Linked DNA regions of Elephas maximus indicus. The protein of the gene in region 3 interacts with the protein of the main gene of each other region in a biochemical or structural test. Links are inferred from orthologs where the notes say so. Each region holds a gene or a part of one and is shown on either strand. Other genes may lie near its edges. The genes, in order: ANGPT4, ANGPT1 and TEK.

The links.
Region 1: the proteins of TEK (region 3) and ANGPT4 form a complex in vitro, tested with the Homo sapiens proteins (2 studies listed by BioGRID and IntAct). The link is inferred for Elephas maximus indicus from reciprocal best matches to the Homo sapiens genes TEK and ANGPT4.
Region 2: the proteins of TEK (region 3) and ANGPT1 form a complex in vitro, tested with the Homo sapiens proteins (6 studies listed by BioGRID and IntAct, with this or other methods). The link is inferred for Elephas maximus indicus from reciprocal best matches to the Homo sapiens genes TEK and ANGPT1.

What each region holds. Positions count from the first base shown.
Region 1 is NC_064843.1:38,939,104-38,946,961, forward strand, and holds the start of ANGPT4 (angiopoietin-4), read right to left. Parts: upstream 3,009-7,858; 5' UTR 2,867-3,008; coding exon 2,558-2,866; intron 1-2,557. UniProt on the Homo sapiens protein: Binds to TEK/TIE2, modulating ANGPT1 signaling. Can induce tyrosine phosphorylation of TEK/TIE2. Promotes endothelial cell survival, migration and angiogenesis.
Region 2 is NC_064833.1:34,697,218-34,705,071, reverse strand, and holds the start of ANGPT1 (angiopoietin-1), read right to left. Parts: upstream 3,085-7,854; 5' UTR 2,593-3,084; coding exon 2,296-2,592; intron 1-2,295. UniProt on the Homo sapiens protein: Binds and activates TEK/TIE2 receptor by inducing its dimerization and tyrosine phosphorylation.
Region 3 is NC_064827.1:36,777,738-36,785,061, reverse strand, and holds the start of TEK (angiopoietin-1 receptor), read right to left. Parts: upstream 3,094-7,324; 5' UTR 2,623-3,093; coding exon 2,571-2,622; intron 1-2,570. UniProt on the Homo sapiens protein: Tyrosine-protein kinase that acts as a cell-surface receptor for ANGPT1, ANGPT2 and ANGPT4 and regulates angiogenesis, endothelial cell survival, proliferation, migration, adhesion and cell spreading, reorganization of the actin cytoskeleton, but also maintenance of vascular quiescence.

The DNA.
Region 1 (7,858 bases), on a different chromosome or scaffold from region 3:
TTTCTGTTTGTTAAAGCCAACCAATCGTGGTATTTCTGTGATAGCAGCACTAGATAGCAGCACTAGATAACTAAGACATCAAGTAAGATGAAGACTAAGTCATGGCCATTGGATTTGGGAAGTGGGAGGTGATGTTGGGGAAAGGAGTAAATGAAAAGTGAGGAAGTGGAGGCAGAAAATGAGGGGTGTGGGCTGGAAAAAAGGGTTGTGTTTCTCCCTCCTCCTCTTCTTCCTCCTCTTTTTTTGCCTCTTCTTTCTTTTTTTAAGATTGGAAAGACTTGAGTGCAATGGAACGTTGAGGGGAAGGGCCAGTAGAGAGGGAGAAGTTGTTGGAGACACAGGAGTGGAGGGTTGGTATGAGGAGGCTGAGGGGCTGGGACCCAAAGCCTAGGAGGGAGAGTGGACCCGACTCATGGAGAAAAACCTTCCCTCAGAGCCTGAAGGAAGGCCTGGGGACTGGTGGGTGCATGGGCAAATCTGCAGGTGTAGGGCAGGCAGTTGAGGGACTTCTCTCCTCTTAGCCTCAATTTCTCATTGAAGAAGGATGACCATAGTCTGGTGAGAGAATGGGGTGGGTGGGGAGGTGAAGATGGAAGCTTGAAGGTGGGGGATAACTCTTGAAATGGCCACATGGGACTCAGAAACAGCTGCCTGAAGAGACACACACAGATTTCAGGGCAGCATGGAGTCCCTGCTAGGTTGGACTCCAGTATATGTGGTCAGGACTCCCTTGAGGGGGCACAGGATGGGATGGCGACAGGGCAGAAATGTTGCAGGGCGGGTGGGTGGAGGGGCAAGTGGTCAAGGGATTATGGGAAGATGGTGAGCAAAGGACTGAGGGGGTGGTTGGGAAGAATAAAGACAGGAGGTTAGGGGTGTGTGTGTGCGCCTGCGAGTGTGTGTGTGCATGCGTGTGTGTATGACGAAGGTGGGTTAGATACACAGAGTATAACCTCTCCACCTTGGGAACGGATAAACCCAGACCATGCACAAAACAATTCTTTGGAAAACAGGAGGAAACTACCAGAACTTCAACTGATGTGATTTCATATATCATCTTTTTAAAGTTCCATTTTTGCTAGAGTTGTGCCCTGTACATATTGTATTAACACTGGGTGTGTGGGTATAAATACTAAAAAAGTATGCATGCATCAGGGAGGCAAACATTTCTTACTGATTAGGAACATGGTTTAAAGAATTTGGAAACGATGGGAGTAAGAAGATACTGCTTGCCTAAGAAACACCCTGGGGACTCCTCCTGGACACCCTCGCCTGCAGCCTGTCAGTCGCTGCCTGCTGTTTTACAACTTCTAAAACACTGTGAATCAGCTGCTGCTCTCCACCTCGCTGCTACCACCCAGACAGTTCCCTGCATCTGCGGCCCTGGTCCCACTGTCTGGCCCTGGTCACCTCTGACTTAGGGGGTCAGCCCACCATGGGCGCTGCAGGACGCCTTCTCTGCCCCCATGATCACCCCGGGGCAGGTCTGCCTCATCCACCTCTGCACCCTAGTGTCTTGTCCCAGGCCTGGCACACAGTAGGTGCTCTGAGTGTTTGCTGAAAGGACAAACGAATGAAAGAATGAGGGCAGGAGATCCTATAGTGGTCCTGGTCTTAGGCCCAGACCGTGGGATGTCCTCAACTCCTTGCTCTCTCCCACCCCATCCAATGAATCAGCAGACCCTATGAGCGCCTCCTCCAGAAGAAACCAGAATCTGACCCACCACACCTCCACCCTCAGCGCCTCCCTGCTCCAGGCCTCCTGGTGTTTGCAGGGGTCTCCTCTTTGCGCTCCCTGCCCTTATAGCCTCTTCTCCTGTTCAGACCAAACCAGGAGTGTGGCTCCCTGTGCAAAACCCTGCAAGGGCTCCCGTGACACGCAGGGCAAAACCCACAGTCTTTGCAGTGCCACAAGACCCCCCCACCCCACTCAGACCTCATCCCCAGCCCCTTTCTCCATCTCTTGCTTTGCTCCCTCTGCCCCAGCCACACTGGCAGCCCACCTGGTACCAGGCACCTACTGCACTCCCACCTTGCAGCTTCTGCCTTTGCTTGTCTCTTTACCAGGAATGCTCTCCCCCAAGAAGCTTGCTTCTCCACTTCACTTGTTGTCTCGGTTCAAACACCACCTCCTCTGAGAAGTCCTCTCAAATTATCTGACCTCAAATCGCCACCCCTCGGTCACTCCCTGTCTTCCTCCTTTCCTTCATTTTGTTTCACCCTCTGACATAGTAAATATTTATTGTTCATCTCTTTATCGACGTCTCCCCCCCAGAATGTACATCCAGTTGTATCCCCAGCAGCTAGGATGGGCCTGGCACATGTTTCTGACAGACGGATAAATGAATGGCCGTTAGACACTGCCTTGTCTTGCTGTGTGTTCTCTGAACCATTCCTGGACCTCTCTGGGGCTCCATATCCCACTCTGTACAATTCAGGGATGAGGGTCCCATCGATTTGGCCATCTGCATCCAGAGGAGACCTTCGAGGTGGACACTCCTCCTGCCGATCATGACAGACCTGAAGCTGTCCTCCCCCCTGCAGGCCCAGCCCTTACCTTCTGCAGCCACTGGGTGTTATTCTCCAGTAACTTCTCCAGCTGCCGCACCCGTTGACTCCGCCACTGCCCCAGGTGCCGTTCGGCAGCCGGTAAATCCCTCTGGAGGCTGTTGGAGCCCCTTAAGGGCTCGTGCTCCGGAGTGCATGGCTTGGGCTCGGGCAGCACGAAGGTGTAGCTGCACTGGCCGTGCTGGACCTGGTGTGTCTGGCGACACCCACCTGCTTCCTGGCCCGTCTGCTGGGCCAAAGTCGTGGTGGCCACCATGAGGAGGAGGCTGCCCGGTAGCATGGCTGGCCAGGAGGGCATCCAGAGAGGTGATGATGGGGAGGGGATGCGGTCAGGGCCCTCAGGGGCCGTGCCTGCTCACCACCCAGCCCGGTGCCCAGGGTGCAACCGCCGTGGCTGAGGCTGCCAGTGGACAAGCCTGCCTGCAGAGCTGCTGCAGCTGCAAACCCCTGTTTGGCTGAGCCCCGTTCCAGCGGCTATTTATACATGCTCCAAATACCACAGCTGCTCAGCTTCCTCTCACCGCCTCCTGCCCGCCCCCCTCCCATCCCTCATTCCTATTCTTTCCCCCTCTCCCTTCCTTCCTCCGAACTCTTGCCTGCACGCTGCCCTGTCCACGCGCTGGCCTCGCTCTGCCCGCCTTGACTCTGGTCCTTTATTGTCTTGTGGGGGCCTGGCCTCCCTGCAAGAGGGGAGGTATTGTAGAGGGAAAAACATCACAAAGTTTAGTAAAGCAAAAAGAAAGTTTTATTCAGCATATATTCAGGAAGACAAAAGTTGAGAAGCAGACAAGCATGCTGCCAGAGCTAATGTCTGCCCAAGTCCAAGGAAATATTACAGAGTAAGCAAGAACAGGAAAATGGACAAGCAGGTTTCACAGCCATGTCTGCCCGAGCCCAAGGAACATTACAGAATAAACAAGAATGGGAAAACGGACAAGCATGCTGCCAGATATGTCTCCAAATGCAGAGAATATTACAGAATAAATAAGAATGGGAAAAAGGACAAGCATGGTGCCACAGCCATGTCTATCCGAGTCCAGAGAATATTACAGAATAAACAAGAATGAGAAAACGGACAAGCATGCTGCCACAGACATGTCTCCAAATGCAGAGAATATTACAGAATAAATAAGAATGGGAAAAAGGACAAGCATGATGCCATAGCCATGTCTATCCGAGTCCAGAGAATATTACAGAATAAACAAGAATGAGAAAACGGACAAGCATGCTGCCACAGACATGTCTCCAAATGCAGAGAATATTACAGAATAAATAAGAATGGGAAAAAGGACAAGCATGGTGCCACGGCCATGTCTATCCGAGTCCAGAGAATATTACAGAATAAACAAGAATGAGAAAAGGGCCAAGCATGCTGCCACAGACATGTCTCCAAATGCAGAGAATATTACAGAATAAATAAGAACGGGAAAAAGGCCAAGCATGCTGCCACAGACATGCCTGTTCAAGTCAAGAGAATATTACAGAATAAACAAGAATGGGAAAAAGGACAAGCTTGCTGCTACAGCCATGTCTATCTGAGTCCAAGGAAGGTTACAGAGTCATCAGTATACATTAACATTACAAATGGGCAAAACCGTTGAGAGCGTCACCTTTTCACAGATTGGTTAGAAACTGTCATCCTACATTTTGAATTTTCTTTCTTAACAGTCATTGGTACAGGCTTCAGTAACAAGTCAGGAGGGTCTTCATTGGTCCAATAAGTTTCTATTCACTAGATGTTAATAGTTAGAAAAAGATAAGAGTGGAAAGTCTTTGTGTTCTGGCTTATGTGAAAGGTTCCCTAGAAGATATTTTCCAAGATTATTCTATCTATTGTCTTTATCTCAGGGCCCACTTGATGTGTCCTCGTGAGTCCTGGTGAGCTCTTGTGAGCCCAGCTCCAGCTGGGTCACATTCTCTACGCTCAAGGACAGGGAATAATGATTCCAGTATTATTTCCTAAATCTTTCCCTCCTTTTGATTGGAGATTGGAAATAACACATCCATGATTAGTCGAGCTCCTAGATGGCAACCGCGGCAGGTTCTTTAAACTCACAGTGCTGGTTTTCCACTGGATACCATCCGGTTCTTCACCAGGATCTTAGGAGTGATGTTCTCATCAGTTGCATTGTCAAAGTGTGTAAACTCAATGTACATCAACATTTTAGCCCAAGGCCTTCTTTAGCCTTTTAGGTGTGTAAGACAATAGAAGATAAGTTTTATTATGCCTAATACTATCAGGATGTAGACTAAGAAAATTACTTGTAGTAGTGCAAATAAATCTGGTGTTCGTAAGGGTGTTACAGTATATAACCAAGTAGCTTGCTATCCAATTCTATTTGTATATCCTGTTCTTCTCCTGTGTTATTTATCTAAATGCAACAAGTGGTATTTGCTACAGCACATTACGCTTTCTTGGACGAATAAATAAAAATCTAAGGCTATTTTGTTATCTCATGTCACCTTGGATTAATGAGGTCAGAGATCACTGTTGTGTTTCCAACCCGCTAGCAACTTTGTTATTTGTCGCATAGTGACTGATAAATTTCTGAAAGATTTCTCCAATTCAAATATACCTTAAGTAGGAATTAAATTTACCAACCATACCCTGAGTGTTGGATCAATGGGCTTTCTTCTGATTCTCATTTTACAAAGGATAACAAATTAACATTACCTTTCTAGCATTTACTATGAATATCTAAAGATAATCCTAAAGTTCTCAAAGTGCATTGCCCACGCATTCGCCAGGAATCTAAACAAGAGATTGCCCACGTAAATTCACTATTAGTTAGAAAGGAATCATCTAAATTTATATAGTTGGATTCACCACACAAGAACATATATCTATAAAGGGCACTCGAAGTTTGTCTAGAGAAAACAGAAGGTACAGAAAAATTTGCTTGTGACAGATAAGTTTCTATTAAAGAATACATGATTAGCAAGATAATACAGGATGGACTTCTCCTGTTGAAGGTCTCCAGTTAATGTGCCTAAAACATACTAAGTGTTCTTCCTGAGGGCAAGCTGCCTTTCCTTGGTTTGTCTATTAAGAGTCATGAGTCACTTTCTCAAAAGCAAAGTGCAATCTGAGCCATGAGGTCGATCTCTTCTGAAAACTTGGTTTCAAGTTACATAATTTTCTCTATAGCAAGAGGATGAGAGTTTGATTACAAACATTAGACAGATACAACATTGTCTTGAGGACTGATTAAAACGATTACTGATTTACCTTAAACATAACTCTATTTACTGATCTTTGGAGTGTTTCCCAAAACAGACTGAATTCTTAAAAAAAAAAAAAAAAAGCACAATGCCCAGAGCAAAAGGGTCTTGGCTAGCTTATCTGGACAATTGTTTGACTTAAAGTGGCTTCAGAAATCAGTTTTTTTCTTAAAGCTCAAGGTTCAAAAGGACACCCAAAGGCGATAAATAAAACTATGTATATTCCCCAACTTCCACGAAAGCCAGAAATCTGGATTGCAGGAGAATTACGTACAACTCTCTCATGGTTCCTTCCTTTAGATCATGATCTTGCTATAGAATCTTGGATCAAAAATGTTCAATAAATGGTAATTGGGCTCTATCTGGTTTTTAAGATCCCATATAGCAAATCAGGAGGTAGAATAGAAACACTAACACTAGGCCAATTATCTGAAATAATCAATGAAACCATGACCCTAAGGTCTTGGAACCAAGGAAACAAATCTCACGGGGTGTTTGTTCACACATAAGCAGCATCAATCACTGTTTTTCATGTGCCTCTGTATTAACCACGTTCTGCAAAGCCTATGATTGTGTTAATATAAATACAGCAACATTTATCTACTAAGGCACAAACTCTTCCTTGAGAGATCCAATAGGAAATCTAATGCTATTCTAATTTGTAAAATCATAGCTCAAATTCCAGACACTTCTCTGGCTATGATATTTACCACTTTGCTAACTTTGACAACAAGAACTTTTAATTCAAGAGTTAAAATCACTAAACCCACTAGTTAGATAATTTAGGAGAAAAGAGGAAAATGGTTTCTTATATCCAGAAAGTAGGACCTTACAGCATTTCTGATTTCCAGAAAGAAAGGCCTTAAAATACCAGCAATATTCTCACATAAACCCGTAGGATCATTCCGTTTTCTCAGTCTTATGTAGTTAATTTCTGTTCCATGTGATTTTGGATCGGCTGCAGTCTGCAAAACCATCAGTTTCTGCTTGGAGTTCTGGAAATCTCGATTGAGTTTAGTCACAGTCTTTTTTGCAAGTTCAGTATAGTCCATCTTTTTTGTTGAGATATTCTGGTCAAATGTTTTCAGAAAATCAGCAAAGTAAACATTTATCTGCAGATGGCAAAACTTAATATGGCCATGATTAATTTATAAACATAACTCTTAAGAGTGAAAGACCTAATAGAAATTAATTACAAGCATAATGTAAAGGCCAAATAAAATCGGTTAAGAGAAACTTTAGATAAAAATATTTCTAAATATAACCATTAACCATATTTTTAAAGAACTTCATAATAATCTTGAGACATAATACCATATAGTCAGGATATACTAAGAATATACCAAAATTATCAAGTCTCTAAATACCTAGATAGTAATAAAAAATAACTTTATAGGTAAATGATTTGAATTCTCCAGTCAAACTATTGGCTTTGATGATGCTAGATTCCAAAAATAAAGTTTGAATTAAGTTAGCAATTAAGAAATAATAAAATTATGACATAATATTATGTGTTTGTTGTCTAATATTAGGCAAAAACACAAGAGGAAATACTAACATATAAATTTTAACCCAAAGGAAAAGACTCAGCACTGCTCTTGATTTTAACAACACGTTCTGTGTAATTTACAACATGTTAAATAAACCTTTTTAGCACTTTTCCCTTATTAAAATTTTGTGGGTTTCCATGAAGTTTCAAACTTGTCAGGAGTTTATCATAAGTTACTGTGAAACAATACTTAAGTCATTTAACCAAAGATCTCAAAATAAAAACCTTAGCTTTTTTTTTTTTTTTTCCTAAAGCCATGCAGCTTGGTTTCTGACTCAGGAATCTTATTCTGATGAGAGACTGGACCTTTGTTTTAGAGGCAGATCACACTGATAAATTAATTATTTAACTCAGAAAGCAAAGAAAATTTAATTTTAACAGCGAGAAACCTAATTCTTTGTTTTATATGCTATAAAAGCGCCTAAAAATCTCATAAATTAAACCATTAAACTTCAGACAGAAAAAAATTTTGACTGTATCAAATAAATTTCTTTTTAATAAACTTCTTAAGAGTTGTCT
Region 2 (7,854 bases), on a different chromosome or scaffold from region 3:
TCCTCTAACCAATCATGTCAACAATGACAAAAGATATGCAAATTCAAACAGACAATAGTCAAGCCAAACTGTCTGACTCATACCAACAGGGACATTTTCAGAACATAGTCAGCTTGATTCACACGAGCGAGTGAATGTCCATGTAACTAAAGAATATTTTAGTGATTCTTGGCTCTTATCTGAAAAGCATACCATAATCACTGACCAAAAACAAGAATCAAAATTAATAACTTGTGAAATATTTGCATAATCTAAGCCCAGTAGGATCATGTATTTATTTACTTTGTCATGCCTGAGTAATTGCATAGCAATGTAAAATATGCATTGTTTTTTAAATCACCATTTTGATTGTATGTTTTAAGCAAGCAAAACATTACATTTTTGGCAGAGTATCTCATTCAAGACACTTTGGGACTAAGATATTCCTCCCCGCCAACCTCAGAAAAGCCAGATTAATTTATAATGATCAAATTCTCTTTAAAGAATATATGAATGGTATAAAAAATATATATATTGACAAATAGTAATAAACTTTCAACAAAATTCATTTGTTTACTATGGAAATAAGTTTTGCCAGAGAAAAAAACATATATTATTATAGACTGCCACGGTAGGTCCCACCCAGTGCCGTCGAGTCGATTCCGACTCATAGCCACTGTAGGTAGTAGATGAAATTTAAGCTATAATTATTAAAAGACTGGAGAATTCTCTTTGCTTCCTCTTCTGCATATTTATCGATTCCCCTGTAGTCTGTAGTGATAAGATTAACTACAATTCCAGGTTTGGAAGCTCTAGAACTACTAAGTTTCAGTTAACATGTCAAATAAAATAACAGTGATCTCAGTTCAGTCCCTAGTGGACGAAACTAGAATAACTGTTACACAGTGTGAATCAGCAGGTGGTGATCTAAGTGATTGTGACCACACAGGAACAAAAAAGCGCATTTGTCCTTTCACTATCTTTTATCTTCTGAAGGAGTTTGCACTGTGAACAGACCATCTTACAGAAGTCTGGGTGCATTTCTACTACACGAACCAAGGGAATCTATTGGCACAGACCCTGTGGTGGGAAGCTTTCCATGAATGGGGACGCTGCCAGTGACAAAGTCTGTTGAATATACTTATTGTTCACTGCTTACCTCTTACACAATTAATCAGAGAGCAAAGTGAGAATTATCTGCAGAAACTGCACTCATATTTTAATAGTAATACCTTCAACAAAAAACTTTTCAAAGGTTTATACATAAATAACAGAACAAGCTGTTCAATTTGATTTCTATAAATTGGGATCAAATGCATACTCACTAGACTCCCAAATGGCCCTGAGTCTGTACCTACAGTGTCCTGAGAAGTGCGGTACCCCAGGGGTACAGCAGAGCCTACATGCTGTGTTCAACCCAAATCGGCAGGTGCATGTCCCAAGAGACTAGCCACCACCGGCTCAATTTCTTTCTTCATTGTCGACGACCAGCTCCTTCCTGATGAATTCACATTAAAATGTATCTTCCTAATTGATTTTCTCAAGTACAGAAGAAAAATACAACAGAAACCAGTCCTCTACTATTGTATCACTTAACTAAAATAAACCGTTCCTTTACACACTTATTCCATTTATACAATTCCCCCACTAAATATTCTACAGGGAAAACTGCGAGAGCCAGAACTCAGAACTGCCTTGTTTTTCTGGGTCTCCCAAGTTTTCTACCTTTGACAGGGTGCACTCTTACCACTTTTCCATCTCCAGTTTCAGTGGAAAATAATTGAGTTTTCCTTGTCTGACAGGTTCCCATCTTACGCAGGTTCTGGCTTTCGCAGGTTTTAATGTATTTTATATTTACTCTCACTTCATGTTAATTTTACTAGAGGTTAAAAAACGTATTTTGTTATGAAAACTTGCTGGTGTAGATTCCATTTGATCTCAAAGCAGTACTGTCATTATTATTGTTTTCCCAACAACTTGCTCAAAACGTACTTGCTTTCTCTTTAAAAGTGGGGTTTTGACAATCAGACTACTCAAGCTCAACCGGGAATAAGAGAAAAACAGAAATGTCATAAAACATGCCATTGCCAGATGCACTAATGGGGCTCCAGCATACCTTCGTAAGCTAGCAAAAGCCTAAAAACCTTGGCTCGCCCGCGAAGTGAAACCAAGTACTAAGCCGTCTTGCGTTTGCAAACACTGCCCCCCTGGAGCAAAAGGTAAACACACAAATTCCCCCCTAAGGAACTGTTGGTTAGCTGCAGTGCAAGAAGGGAAAAGGCTCCGTGCAATTAGAAACGGAAAGCAATCACTTACTTTTTGCAGCCACTGAGTATAATTTTCCATTACATGCTCCAGGTGTTGAAGTTTCTGGGAAGAGAAATCGGGTCCCACGTGTGGAGCATCTCGCTGCAGAGCGTTTGGGTTGTACTGGTCTGTCGTACTCTCACGACAGTTCCCGTCGTGTTCTGGAAGAATGAAAGTGTAGGCGCATTGCCCATGTTGAATCCGGTTGTATCTTCTCCCACCGTTCTCTGGATTTCGGCGCTGGTTGCTGCACCCTATGTGAATCAGAATGGCAGCGAGGAAAGCAAAGGAAAGGAAAACTGTCATTGTACTGCCAGCACTCTCCTTCCGTGCCTCTCGCAAATCTCGCTCCTTTCTTCTGCCCTTTAAACTCGTTCTTTATTTCAGGTAAAACTGCTTGTTTGTTTGACTTTTTCCCCCTGCAAGAAAACTTTTGAAGACGAATCATAAAAAACTAGCCATTTGTTAGCTTTGCTCTAAAATGTTATTTTTTTATTTCACTGCAATGGTAGTTTCCTTAGTTAAAACTTGAGATATTTATTGCATAGTAGCTGAGATTTATTGTTTCCTCTCTGTAACAGTTCAGCGTGGAGCCTGCCTGAGTCAGCTGCATGTACATATTCTAGACCCTTGCCTCTACCCTATCTGCTGCAGATCTGCTATTTTCTCCCAGACCTCAGTGAGTTTTATTAAGGTTGCACATCCAAGCCAAGCTGGAAGCAGGCAGCCTTTCACAAGATGACTTGACAGGAATGCTTGAATGTGCCCCTATGCTAAGGATTGCTGATGGCTCAGGGCGGCGGGATCGTCTTACAAATTGGCTAGATGCGCATGACCTCAATCATGTATGGCCCGCCCGCCCCTTCCGCAGACAATTGCCTCCAGCCTTAAGCAGATTCACGGAAAATCAATAAATAGAGCAGTCCACCTTAATACGCTTTTGGTGTGTGTACTGACCTACTAAAATCTAGCAAACTAGCAGTATTTTTTTTTTTTTAAGTTTCTATTTAATTGGGGAACCCAAAGAAGAAACTTGGTATAATGTCCGATGAAATTATTTTTGACAGTGAATAAGAAAGTTGTAATTTTTTTTTTAATTCTTTTTTATAAAACATTTATTCTTGACTCTGGAGAAAAGACATTAAAAACCACTTTTAGAAATGCTGTTCTTTCATTGTATTCATTTCGGCTTTTAGAAAGTGGCTAAAACAATCAGGGAGGGTCAAATTAGAAAAAAACAAGACAAAAATCACAAGTTGTCCCTGAAAGGATTAGAGCTTATGTATATTACATAGAATAATGTAAGTAAGTATTCCTGGAACATGGATTTTTAAATGAAACCATTTCCCTGATCAGAATGCAACCCTGGGTGTTCTGTGTGTGTAAATTGGGCAACTTCCTTAGAAAAACTATGTGGTTACAATTTAAGACACTGGCCTGAGTGTTACTAATTCCTGCGGTTCATCCTAATCATATATTTTACAAAGGTCTCTGGTGTTGCTATGGCTAAAAAAAAAAAGTGCGGAAGCTCCACAGAAATCCTCATTGTGGCTGCGTGGATCAGCCATCTGAGAGCAAAGATACACCAGTTGTGCCAATGAGCCAGCAAAGGGTTGTACAGGAGAAATCCACATGTTTCTATTAGGGGAGAAATAAAAATTACCAGAAGGGAATTTCCCAAACACAAGGTGTAAATATATGAATACAGGAACCAGTAAAACATATAGAACAGACGATATGGCATATAGGCATCGAGATTTTCACTAGGTGTGTGCAGAAAACACGAGTTATGAGCGGGAACTTCCCTCAGGGACTGGGAGGGATTTAAGGCAATGGAGCTTGGCCATGCAGTCATGATGTTAAAACAGAAGCCACAGAGGTAGCCTCCCAGGTTCTGGAAGGGGGCAGGGCAGGGGGTGAAGGGCAGCAGAGGTTAGAGATGGGTGTTCAGGGAGAAATAAGAGGAGAGGGTAAAACAAATTCCAGAAGAAATGTGATTTACTTGGGGAGAAAAGAAGTGCTGAGATACATCAGTCCTTCCCACACCAATGACAAATTGCTGATTTGACAGACATGGAAGAAGTTATGGCAAACGCAGCAATAACCTTTTCAAGCCACCTTTGCAGCCTTCTCCTGTGTTGTTGCATGCCTCTCAGCTGGCTCGTAGATCACCCATGTGGAAGAATAATAATGATGCTTATTAAGAGCTAAGTACTTCTTACACACTATCTCACTTAATTGTTCCAACAACACAAAGACATAGACATTAATGTTTAACCCCACTTGGCTGACAGGGAGACTGAGCTGCTGAAAGGCTCATTGGTCACGGTCACATAGGTAGAAAGTGATGGTGTCATCATGTGAACTCAGGCAAACTGACACAGAGCCTATGCTTCTATGCCACGTCAGCTCACCTTTGAAAACCTCTGTGAAGAATGAGGGAAACCCTGGTGGTGTAGTGGTTAGGAGCTATGGCTGCTAACCAAAAGGCCGGCAGTTCAAACCCACCAGGTGCTCCTTGGAAGCTCTATGGAGTAGTTCTACTCTGTCCTATAGGGTCACTATGAGTCAGAATTGACTCGATGACAACCGGTTTGGTTTTTGGTTTTGGTGAAGGATGAAAGCAACTACAAAAGGGCTCCAGCTGCATTGATTTATAGTTCTAAAGCGAGGTAAGAAAAAAGACTGATTAAAACTAATTTATCCCTCCAAAGTGATCTAATCCATTCCCTGTACCAAAAAAAAAAAAAAAAAAGGAGAGAAGAAAAGAGGAAGAGAGAGCTAGGGAAGGAAGGGGGGTGGGAGGAAGGGGGAGAGGTAACCCATGAAATCAGGTTTTGTAAGGGTCCATGTGACGAGGTGGACTGGCAAAGCATAGGTTATCTAAGAATGTTTTCCAATGTTACTTGCCTTCAAAATTATCCATGGAAACAAGAGTCCAAAACAAACACCTATAAGTGCTGTGTAGAAAACTAAACATAACAGAAAATTGGTACAAGGCAAAAGGATGAGTAGTGAGGTCTCTACTAAAGTTCTCCTATGTTTTTAAACAGCCATGACTGCTAAAAATCTGTTCCGTGTGTGTGTGTGCAAGTGTGTATGTGTGTGTTTATCTGTGTGTGCTTGTTCCTGTGAACTTTTCCAATCTGAACAAATGAGAATGAGGAATGCACATTTTCCTGAGGGAAAAGTAGACAACTAAGAAAGCAAGCCTGGAATGCAAGTAAAAAAGTAGAGAGAGACAGAAGAAAGAGACAGATTGATTCATTTCTTTTTCAGAAAAACAAAAACAAACCAAGACACTGGAAGTACTAAAGTCAATTCAGAAAAGGTGTCTAAAGATCAGTTTCAAGCAATTGTAAGAACAGGGATGGGAAGAATCCACTCGTGCTTCTCTGGAACTCCAGCTGAGGAGACACTGGGTGCACTGAAAATCTCAGTGGCACTCTAAGGACAATATAAAAAAAAAAAAAAAGCCCAGGGAAATGAACCTAAGCAAGCGCTACAGTGTTGGTCGTTGTTGCTGGTTATTCAGAAATCATGCACAATTCAGGGGACTACAGAATTTACGGAGTAGACCTGTGGTGCAGAGGTTAAGACCAAAATCTACCAGCTGCTCCTTGGAAACCCTGTGGGGCGGTTCTACTCCATCCTGTAGAGTCGCTATGAGTCAGAATTGACTCGACAGTTCTGGGCTGCCAACTGAAAGGTTGGTGGCTTGAACCCATCAGCCACTCTGCCTCATAAAGACTTACAGCCTTGGAAACCCTATGGGACAGTTCTAAAAAAACCCTGCTCTGTCCTATATGGTCACCGTGAGTCAGAATCAACTCATAGGCAATGGGTTTGGGTAGTACATACATGCCCATTTTTTTTTATAACTCCTCCGCCACGCTTCCAGAAAACAAAAGTAAAAAAAAAATTCCTAAAGAACTACATCGTTCTATTCAAATGAGTTCTGAAGTAGCTTGATTTTGAAAGTTTTGTATTTTGTTTTCATTATTAGAGCTCTGGAATAGGGAGGTGTATTTGTTTAAGGTTCTGAACTCATATGTACTAAAAGTTAGGCTACTAGTAAATTTAGGCTCGTTCAGAAATTTCCAGTGTGACAAGGAATGCCCTTTACAGGGGAACTCGATGGCCCTAAATCTATCCTAAGAACCAGCCTTTGTTACTTCTTTTGAGAAGCTTTTCTAATTTCTCCAGGCAGCAAGTGGCACCCTCTATTGTATTTCAATAACTTTCCCTTCATATCTCCATAACGGAACTTCTCATGTTGCTTTCTCATTCTTTCTTGGTCTGTCTCCCCCTCTAGCTATGAGCTCATAAAGTGATCTCCTTTCTTTCATCTTTGAGTCTACAGCACTCACAATGCATTTTGGTTAAGGAATGAAAGAATAAATGATCAAATAAAGGAGCTAGTTAATTACTTAATTGGTACAGTTTCCTGATTTGATGTCTGGCTACTATATGTGATTGGCAACAGCTGTTTCATTTGTTGGGTAAGTTTGCCCAAAATCTATGAGCATGAGAGAACCAGAGGAAGCCAAACTTATTCTAAGTAATAAGTTAGACACATGAACATGGTACAATAATACTAAATAACATTTTTGAACCCTTACTAAATTAATTTCCTCATTTAATGTTCATGGAAACTCCATAAGTATGTGCTATTATTAGCATTCTACAGATGAGAATTGAGACATATATATGTTACACAATTGTGCAAGATCTATCATCTCTTATGTAGCAGAACAGGAATTTCATCTTCAACTGGTCTTTCTCTGGGGTCCACATTTGTAACCCATTGAGCTGTATTACCTCAGTGTTAGGAAACACAGAGAAGGGATTTCTTAGAATTTAAGGGACACAAATAGCATAGTATCTATAACTCAAATTTGTTCCCTCCTCCTCCCATCCATGCCTCCATGGATTCATGTTCTGATCCTCTAAAACAGAGCTAATCTTAAACCAGGATTCACCAGTACAGCTGTCCCATTTGTTTACCGACATCTAATCTGATTGATTAGGTTATAGCTTGAATTCATTCTGAATGGTAGGTCCTGTGCCATATCAGTTGTTACATATCTTGATCATCGCCCTGACTCTAAAATAAAATTGTTGTTGTTTGTTGTTAGTTGCCTTCTAGTCAGCTCCGACCCATGGCGACAGTATGTATAACAGAGTGAAACTACCCGGTCCTGTGCCGTCTTCATAATCTTTGGGTGTTTGAGCCCATCGTTGCAGCCACTGTGTCAATTCACCTCATAAAGGGTTTCCCTCGTTTTTGTTGACCCTCTACATTACCAAACATGATGTCCTTTTCAACCATTGGTCTTTCCTGATGACATGTCCAAAGTAAGCAAGACAAAGTCTCACCATCCTTGCTTCTAAGGAGCATTCTGGCTATACATCCTCCAAGACAGATTTGTTCATCCTAACAATATAAAATAGAGTTTATTCCTCTAAAACTCCGTCAGTGGATGAGACACAAGGTAGTACTCCTCTGATACTCACGTGATCACACATTATGCCAAAAGGAGCGAGAAAGCCTTCTCTTCCCTTGTG
Region 3 (7,324 bases):
CTTGGAAGGGAGCCTTTGTGAAGAGAGCAAAACTCCTACCTTCTGAGAAAAATTTCAAGGGGTGCCTCCCATCCCAGCTTCCATACCTCTACCCTTTATTAGTCTGACTTGATACTAGCCTTCCAAGGCCAGGCCTAATGGGGAGATTCCAGCTGGGTCCACTTTCCTGACCTTATAACCACATTTTCTCTGCCACCCCAGACAAAATATCCACTGTTACTCAATCCAGGTTGTCATTTTAAATGCCAGATGAGACAGGCAAGAGGTAAGTAGGCATACAATTATAACCTTCCCACTGGATCGATGTTGATCATATAGGATATACTATGTAAAGCAGAAAGAATGGTTTGTTTTTCTGCATATACAACTCTTTAGAGAGAGCAGCCTGGTTTGGTGAGGATGGGGGAGTAGGGAAAAGGAGAATGTTTATTAGAACTTGTTTGTAAGTTGGAATTGACAATGATTCTCAGTTGGGAAGGGAATGTACCAAAGTCCAAGAAGACTTGGGGGGAGGCTTTTTGAAAATTACACACCTCCTCCAACTGTCTTATGGATCAGCATTTCTTCTACCCAAAGCCACCTTTATTGAGACAAATGGTTTTTTTTTCCCCCATTCTGTTGGTTCAGAAAAAAAGCTATGAGAAACAAACCACTATAGAGAAATAAATCCATACGCTATTAGTTCCTTGCTCCATTATTGTAGTCTACCAGTGGAATTTGGCTTGAAGAACAGACTCATCTGGCTATAGACATGATCAAACTGAATTCTTATTGTAATCACCAACGCTTGGGCATTCATGTTCATGGTGGCTTAGACCGGGAGTATAGGATTCAACACAACAGACCCATCGCAAAAGTTAACCTCATTAGTGTCACACTTCCCTTCTAACAAGAGCATCACCTCTCCTCCGGCCTTGGGCATCTTCCTGCTGAAGTCAGTGCTGTGTTTTCAGGGAACTGAGGTCTAGACACTGGGGCAACTGTTTTGGCAACATAACTTTTTATTTTGTGACTATATTGCAAAGTGCCATAACATAGTTACTTTTGAAAAAAAGTAAATTAAAACAGTAGTGAGTGTGTGTGTGTGTGTGCGCGTGTGTGTGTGTGTGCATTCTTTAATCTAAAACATATCTCAGAGCAACTGTGGTCCCTGGGGCTTTGCATAACTGTAATCCTTGGTGTGGAATCAGTTCCAGGCTTCGTGTCACTGACAAATGTGGCACCAGAACAAAAGCAACCCAAAAAAGGAACAATGATAATTATTTAGTTTAAAGGTATATATTAATACAGAAATTAACATTATTTCCACATTAATATAAACCATTACCACATAAATATTGAAATCATCTGGGATCATTTCTCATTTTCAGGATTCCTATTTTACATGCTTGGATTTTTAAAAAGGTATTAAATCCTCAATATAATTTGTCGTTGAAAGCAAACTGACAGCTGTAAAACAAATTACATGCAGCTCTGTTCTCTTAGTAGATTAATTTTGTGAATATTTAATAAAATATTTCAAACATATATCAAAAAATAATATAGCAGATGCCTGTGTATCTTTGCATCAAATTCTATTCATGTAATATAGCCTGCACCATTAAATTCAGTAAATTGTCAAAATTCATTTCTAATACCAATCAATTTTCATTACAATGGTTAGAATGTTTTCGAACCAAAGGGGACAGATTGATGGTGATTGCAACGTATTTGTGATTCGCACTTCAGTCTTGTCACACTGGGCAAGTGAAACTACAGAGGTATGCCAATATCTAGATAATCTGAGCAATGTACACAATAAATCCAAAAACATTCAGGCCAATGATTCCTGAATTTCACAACAGTTTTGAAAACTCTCCTGTGCCCAAAGACCTGTGCTACTGCCTAGACATTCACTTCATTGGGCCAATATAGACAGACTTTATGAATACTATCTACCAAATCAGAATGGACTTGACGGCAATGGGTTTTGTTTTCTTTTCTTTTTTTTAATATATATATATACCAAATATTTTTTTAAATAAAATAAAAATCACTGAACCCCAATCTACTGGACTCCATCTATAAAAATTACAAAAAGCCTAGAATTTGCTCGCTGTGATTAAAATACCACACAGATATAAAACCTTTAGAGAGAAGCATTGATAATCTGTACATTGCCTTAAGTGGTCTTGCTTAATTTTAATATACACTTTATTTTTAAAAAAATTACTGAAGATTTTCTTTGAAGCTGGTAAATCTAGATTTCTTCTTCTTCTTCTTTTTTAGATAAGAAAACCCTCCAGGACAAGGAGCAGGAAAATAATGCCATAGTAAGCGAGTCTCTTCAAATAAGGTGACTGAATTGGTCTTCCCAGTCTGTGGCAATTCAGGGGACAATCAGCCAGAGGGAAAACCAGTTCATGCCCTAGGAACCTGGCATTTCAATCCTTACATATATGAAATGGAGAATCAGAGAGAAATGGTATCTATACCACAGCCACCCCTCATTAACCAGTACTAAGAGTTGGTAAGAGCCCAAAAGTCAGTAACTCTGTTTAAAAAAATAAATAAATAAAGCCAGTCCTTACCAGAAAGGAGCAAGCTGACTCCATAGAGAACTAAGCCAGCTAAAGAGTCCATGCTTCCCCAGATCTCTCCATCCAGTTTCCACAGCTATGCATGAGGTCCCAAGGAGCCTTTCAAAAACCCAGAGATTTGTGACTTTCCATTCGCATGTTCTACCAGGTCTTGTTTACAAGTTAAAGGCAAGAAGGAACAGCACATAAGCAGGCTGTGACAGTCTCATTTCTGTCTGAGCACGGGGAGTTTTAAGTTCCTTTTTCCTGTTTCCTTTGTAGATTAGGATGGGAAAGGCTGTATCTTAAAGGCATGTGGTATCAGCAGGGCTGGGGGCACTGCAAGCCCTATCCATCTTGCAGTACATCAAAACACTTATCTGTGGCCATTGCTTCTGCTGCTGTTTTCTGCTGCTGCTTTTGCTGTCGCTGTAGGGATAGAGGAATTTTTGCTGGAAGTGTGGGTCCTGGTCAGCACTTTCAGAAACAATAGGAGTATCCTCTCATAGGTGGGAAACTGAGAATAACAAGCCCTCCACCTATGTATGGTATGCAGTGATGATCATCAGCCTTTCTCAGACCTCTAACGCTCTCCTGGGTCCACTTGGAAATCCGGACAGAGGGGCTTTTGGGTGTGGGGGGTAGTTTTTGCTTTTGTTTTCTCATTTCAACCTACATGGTTTGAACTGGAAAAAGAAGTTTTCCATGACGAGAGAACGCAACCCAAGAGGCAATTAATTTAGATAATCACCGGCGCAGTTAATGTTCAATGTAGCCATATAGAGTCCAAAATTGTCAGCTGGTTTCTTTCACACAGATGGATTATTTGTTGGCCAAGAGCCCAAAGGTACCCATGCTACTGGCTATAGCCTTAATTTTTATTAATAAATTCATTTAAAGGTCATCTAATTTTTTTTTCTTTTTTAATTTAGCATAGAAGGATTTCAGTAATGAAAAGAGCTTTATGCTTTTTGGCCAAAGGTATTTCAGAAGTAAATTATATACAAAATCTTAAAAATCATCTGAGCGAAAAACCAAACATAAAAGACGAGATTGGGATAAAAATACTTATAACAGCAGAGAGAATACATGGGCCAAAACAAAAATAGCCAACTGGAGTAACTACCTAAAATGAGATCAGAGACCCAAAACTTATCCTGACTGTAATTTCTCTGCAACATGAATTATGACTTTAGAAAAGAGGGGAGATACTATTAGATATCCTGCCTTAATATCTGAGGAAGGAATTGTTTGCTACGCCTTTTCCTACTCTTCACAGGAAAGGGTAGATGCTGCGTGGTCTTACTTAATTTCTGTCCCAGGTTTTACCACATCAGCAGTGATCTTGAGAACCAGTTGATGTTTCCAATCTGCTGGGGTAGAAAGCCCAGGCTCTGCCTTCAAGCAGATCCAGTTTAAATACTGGTTTAGTCGTCTGCGTGACCTGAGACAAGTTACTTAATCTCTTTGAGCCTCAGTTTTGAAAGCTGTAAAATGGAAATAATATCTCCCGTCATGGAGCGTTTGTGAGGATTGAGGTTAAAAAAAATATGTAAAAATATCTGGCTCCCCGCCTAGTTCATAGATAGCTTTTATTAAATGTTAGTATGTTAATTCCCGTCCATTTTTCCATTCTGTCTCCAATTTAGGTTCCACGAGCTTCAGCCAGGATGCCAATCTCTATTCTTATGAGATTAATTTTGGCATAGAAAAAAAACGGTCTGGGAGTCAGGACTCTGGGTTGTAGTTCTATCTGTTATTATCTGCCTGGGAGGCCCTGGACAAGTAATTTCTCATCTCTAAGCCTCAGTTTTCTCCAACTGTAAAATTAAGAATTTAGATTGGATGTGACTAATTTCCCTTGCAGTTCTAACATCTCATGTCTAAATGACTAAATAAATTGTCCTACTCTCAATATCCCCAAGTTGCTTTTTGTGAGCTGTATATTTCCTAGGTCCTTCCATCTGGAAGGTTCAAAGAAGATGCTGGCTTTGTATCTCTGTATCCATGAAAGTCTGGGAGGATCACAAACGTGCTCTATTTTAAGACCATGGTGGCTGAAGTTTTGTGAGATCCACTGGCCCCAAGCCATACAGGGGGGGCAATGGTAGGCCTTGGAAGTAAACAAACTCCAGGGTGCCAGCCTCTCCAGGCTGGTTCTCATTACCTATGCAAGCTTCCTTTCTTTGTGCTTGGTGGCCACACAAGGAAGTTGTCTTTGCTCACACCCCCTCCTGTTGGTTAGTTCTCGTGCACCAAAGGTGCTACCTTGCTTCCTTTTCTGGACTGGTATCTAGAAAAGCTGCTTAGTTTCATCCCTTCCCCCATTATCCAGAAAGATGACTTACTCCTATCTATCTTTACCCAGAAATGTCACTCAGGTCCTTCTTCCTTCCGTTATATAGAATGGGTGACACCATTTCATTCTTCTCTCTGTAATTGAGAAAAGTTGTTTGATTTAATTCATTTCTCCACTAACCAGAAGAACTACTTAGTTTAATTTCTTCTTCCAGGACCCAGAAAGAGCACTGTATTTGCTAATTCTCAATGTTATATAGTACAGTGACTCGGTTTAATAAACGCTGCTGGGCTCTCTGAACCTGTGATTACACAGCTAGTCAAAGAGTTGAGCAATTTTTTCTTTGGGATGTCTGGATCTTCAGCATGAGATCTAAATTCCAGGTGTAAAGTGAAGACAACTTGTGGACAAAAGTACCCAGACACTTTCTGCTCCAGCTTTCTGATACATGCATCTTAGAACATGGAAAACCAATCAAGGAAGAATATGAGTTTCACTGCACACTGGGATCAAAATGTCTGCAGAGCTGATTGGCAACAGGTTGGGAAGCTGCCAGACTGGATGGCATGCCAGGACTTACAAGGGAAGGGAGAGGCCACTTCCATGTCTGGACAGGACTTGTCCCCAATACATAACGAACTAAGGAAATACCATGTACTGGGACATGGCCAAAACCCTCTTCTAGAAAGCTGGCTGTAGCCATCAATAGGACATGTCCTTTGCCTGAAGAGCTTTGTTGGGGACTAGCTGAATCACCTGTCTACCCTTGGTTGTTCCATCACCTGGAAAATTTGAAATACAATTCCCTCATCCTTGCCTGCCTGACTCCTATGCGTTCTCTAGGTTTCAGCCTCAGAAAGGTCTTCCTTGACCACCAATCCAAGTTAGGTCTCCCTGTTATTATCTCACAACACCCTTTCCTTTTCTTTCATGGCACTAATCACCATTGGCAATCATATATTTGTATCTTTATCTTTTTAATGTCTCTCCTACTGGGCTGCTATCTCCAAAACGCAAGGACTATAACTTGTTCACCATTGAATTCCCAGGTCTTACATAAATACCTGTTGAACTATATGCACGTGTCATAGAAAGGGCTTTGGAGTCAAGCAGACCAAGATTTCATCTGTTGTTATCTGTAATCTACTGTGTGGTCTGGGCAATTTATTTCATGTCTTTCAACCTCAGTTTTCTCATTTTTAAATGGGGAAAAATAATACCTTATTACTGAGAAAATATATACACAGCATCTGACACAAGATGTGTATTGGCTACCTGCTTTCTATGGTTCCCTTCCCATCCCCAATCACCGCCACCACTAGACTGTTATACAGAACTATTTGCAGTGAGGAAACAAAGTCTCCCCCAGGTTAAGTCACTTGCTCTGCTATAGGTAGCAGAGGTAGTATTAGAATATTTGTCTCTTGGCCTCCAATTTTTGCAATTTCTAACATATGACACTTTTTTTTCATAGTTCACCTTTAGACCACAATGTGCAGAAAAGTAGGTAAAAAGAAATATAGGAAACATCACTAACACCATATACACAGACCTTAGGAAAGTATTTGAAATGAAATTTCCACAGGTAATGGCAAAGTTTGGTGACCTTAAGAAATCCAGTTGGTTCTTAATGTGCCCCCAAAATAGTAAGAGCTAATACCAGGATCTGAGGATGCTCCACTCCCTCTCTCCAGGGTGGTGAAAGAGAGCTCCCTCATGAGTCAAGCTTATTTAGCTCAATTTGATTTTTCCAGATACACTTACAACTGAACAAATACGAAAACCAAACCAACAAAACAAGCTAACAAACAAGGCACTTGGCTGGTACTTCATATCCTATTTTATGCTTTTTGCACTTAGAAAATGAAAATCTATAGCCAACATTAAAAAATCTGTGAGAAAGATTAGCAAAACTAACAATGGATAATAAAACAATGTTTGTGAAGAGGCATGGAAAATAACTTACCCAATGCTACTCTAAACTGGCATCACACATCCAGAGGTCTGTTTCACAAATATGCAGCAAAAGCCTATGTGTGTATCCATCAGCCCAGAAAATCCACTGCTGATATATCCCAAGCCAAAATCAAAGATGAGCCCTCTAATTTATCCATAAGGGAGTTTATGGCAGCGTTGTTGATATTAGCCAAAACCTGGAAACAATCTAAAAGGCCAACAAAATGGATTGTCTGTATAAATCATGGTATACCATGGAATACCAGCAAATGTTAAAATGAAGTAGTTGAAGCATATTGACATAGAAAGATGTCTGTGGGGAAGGAAAACAGTTTGAACAGTATAAAATATATACATGACAAATGTACACCAGAATGTTAAAAGTGATTATTTCTGGGTTGTTGGAAAACTGATAATTTTTATTTTCTTCTGTATTGTTTTCTATAATTTCAGCATTAAAAAAAAATAATGACTGTGTACATATACGCTCATATATAAATATATATTTTAA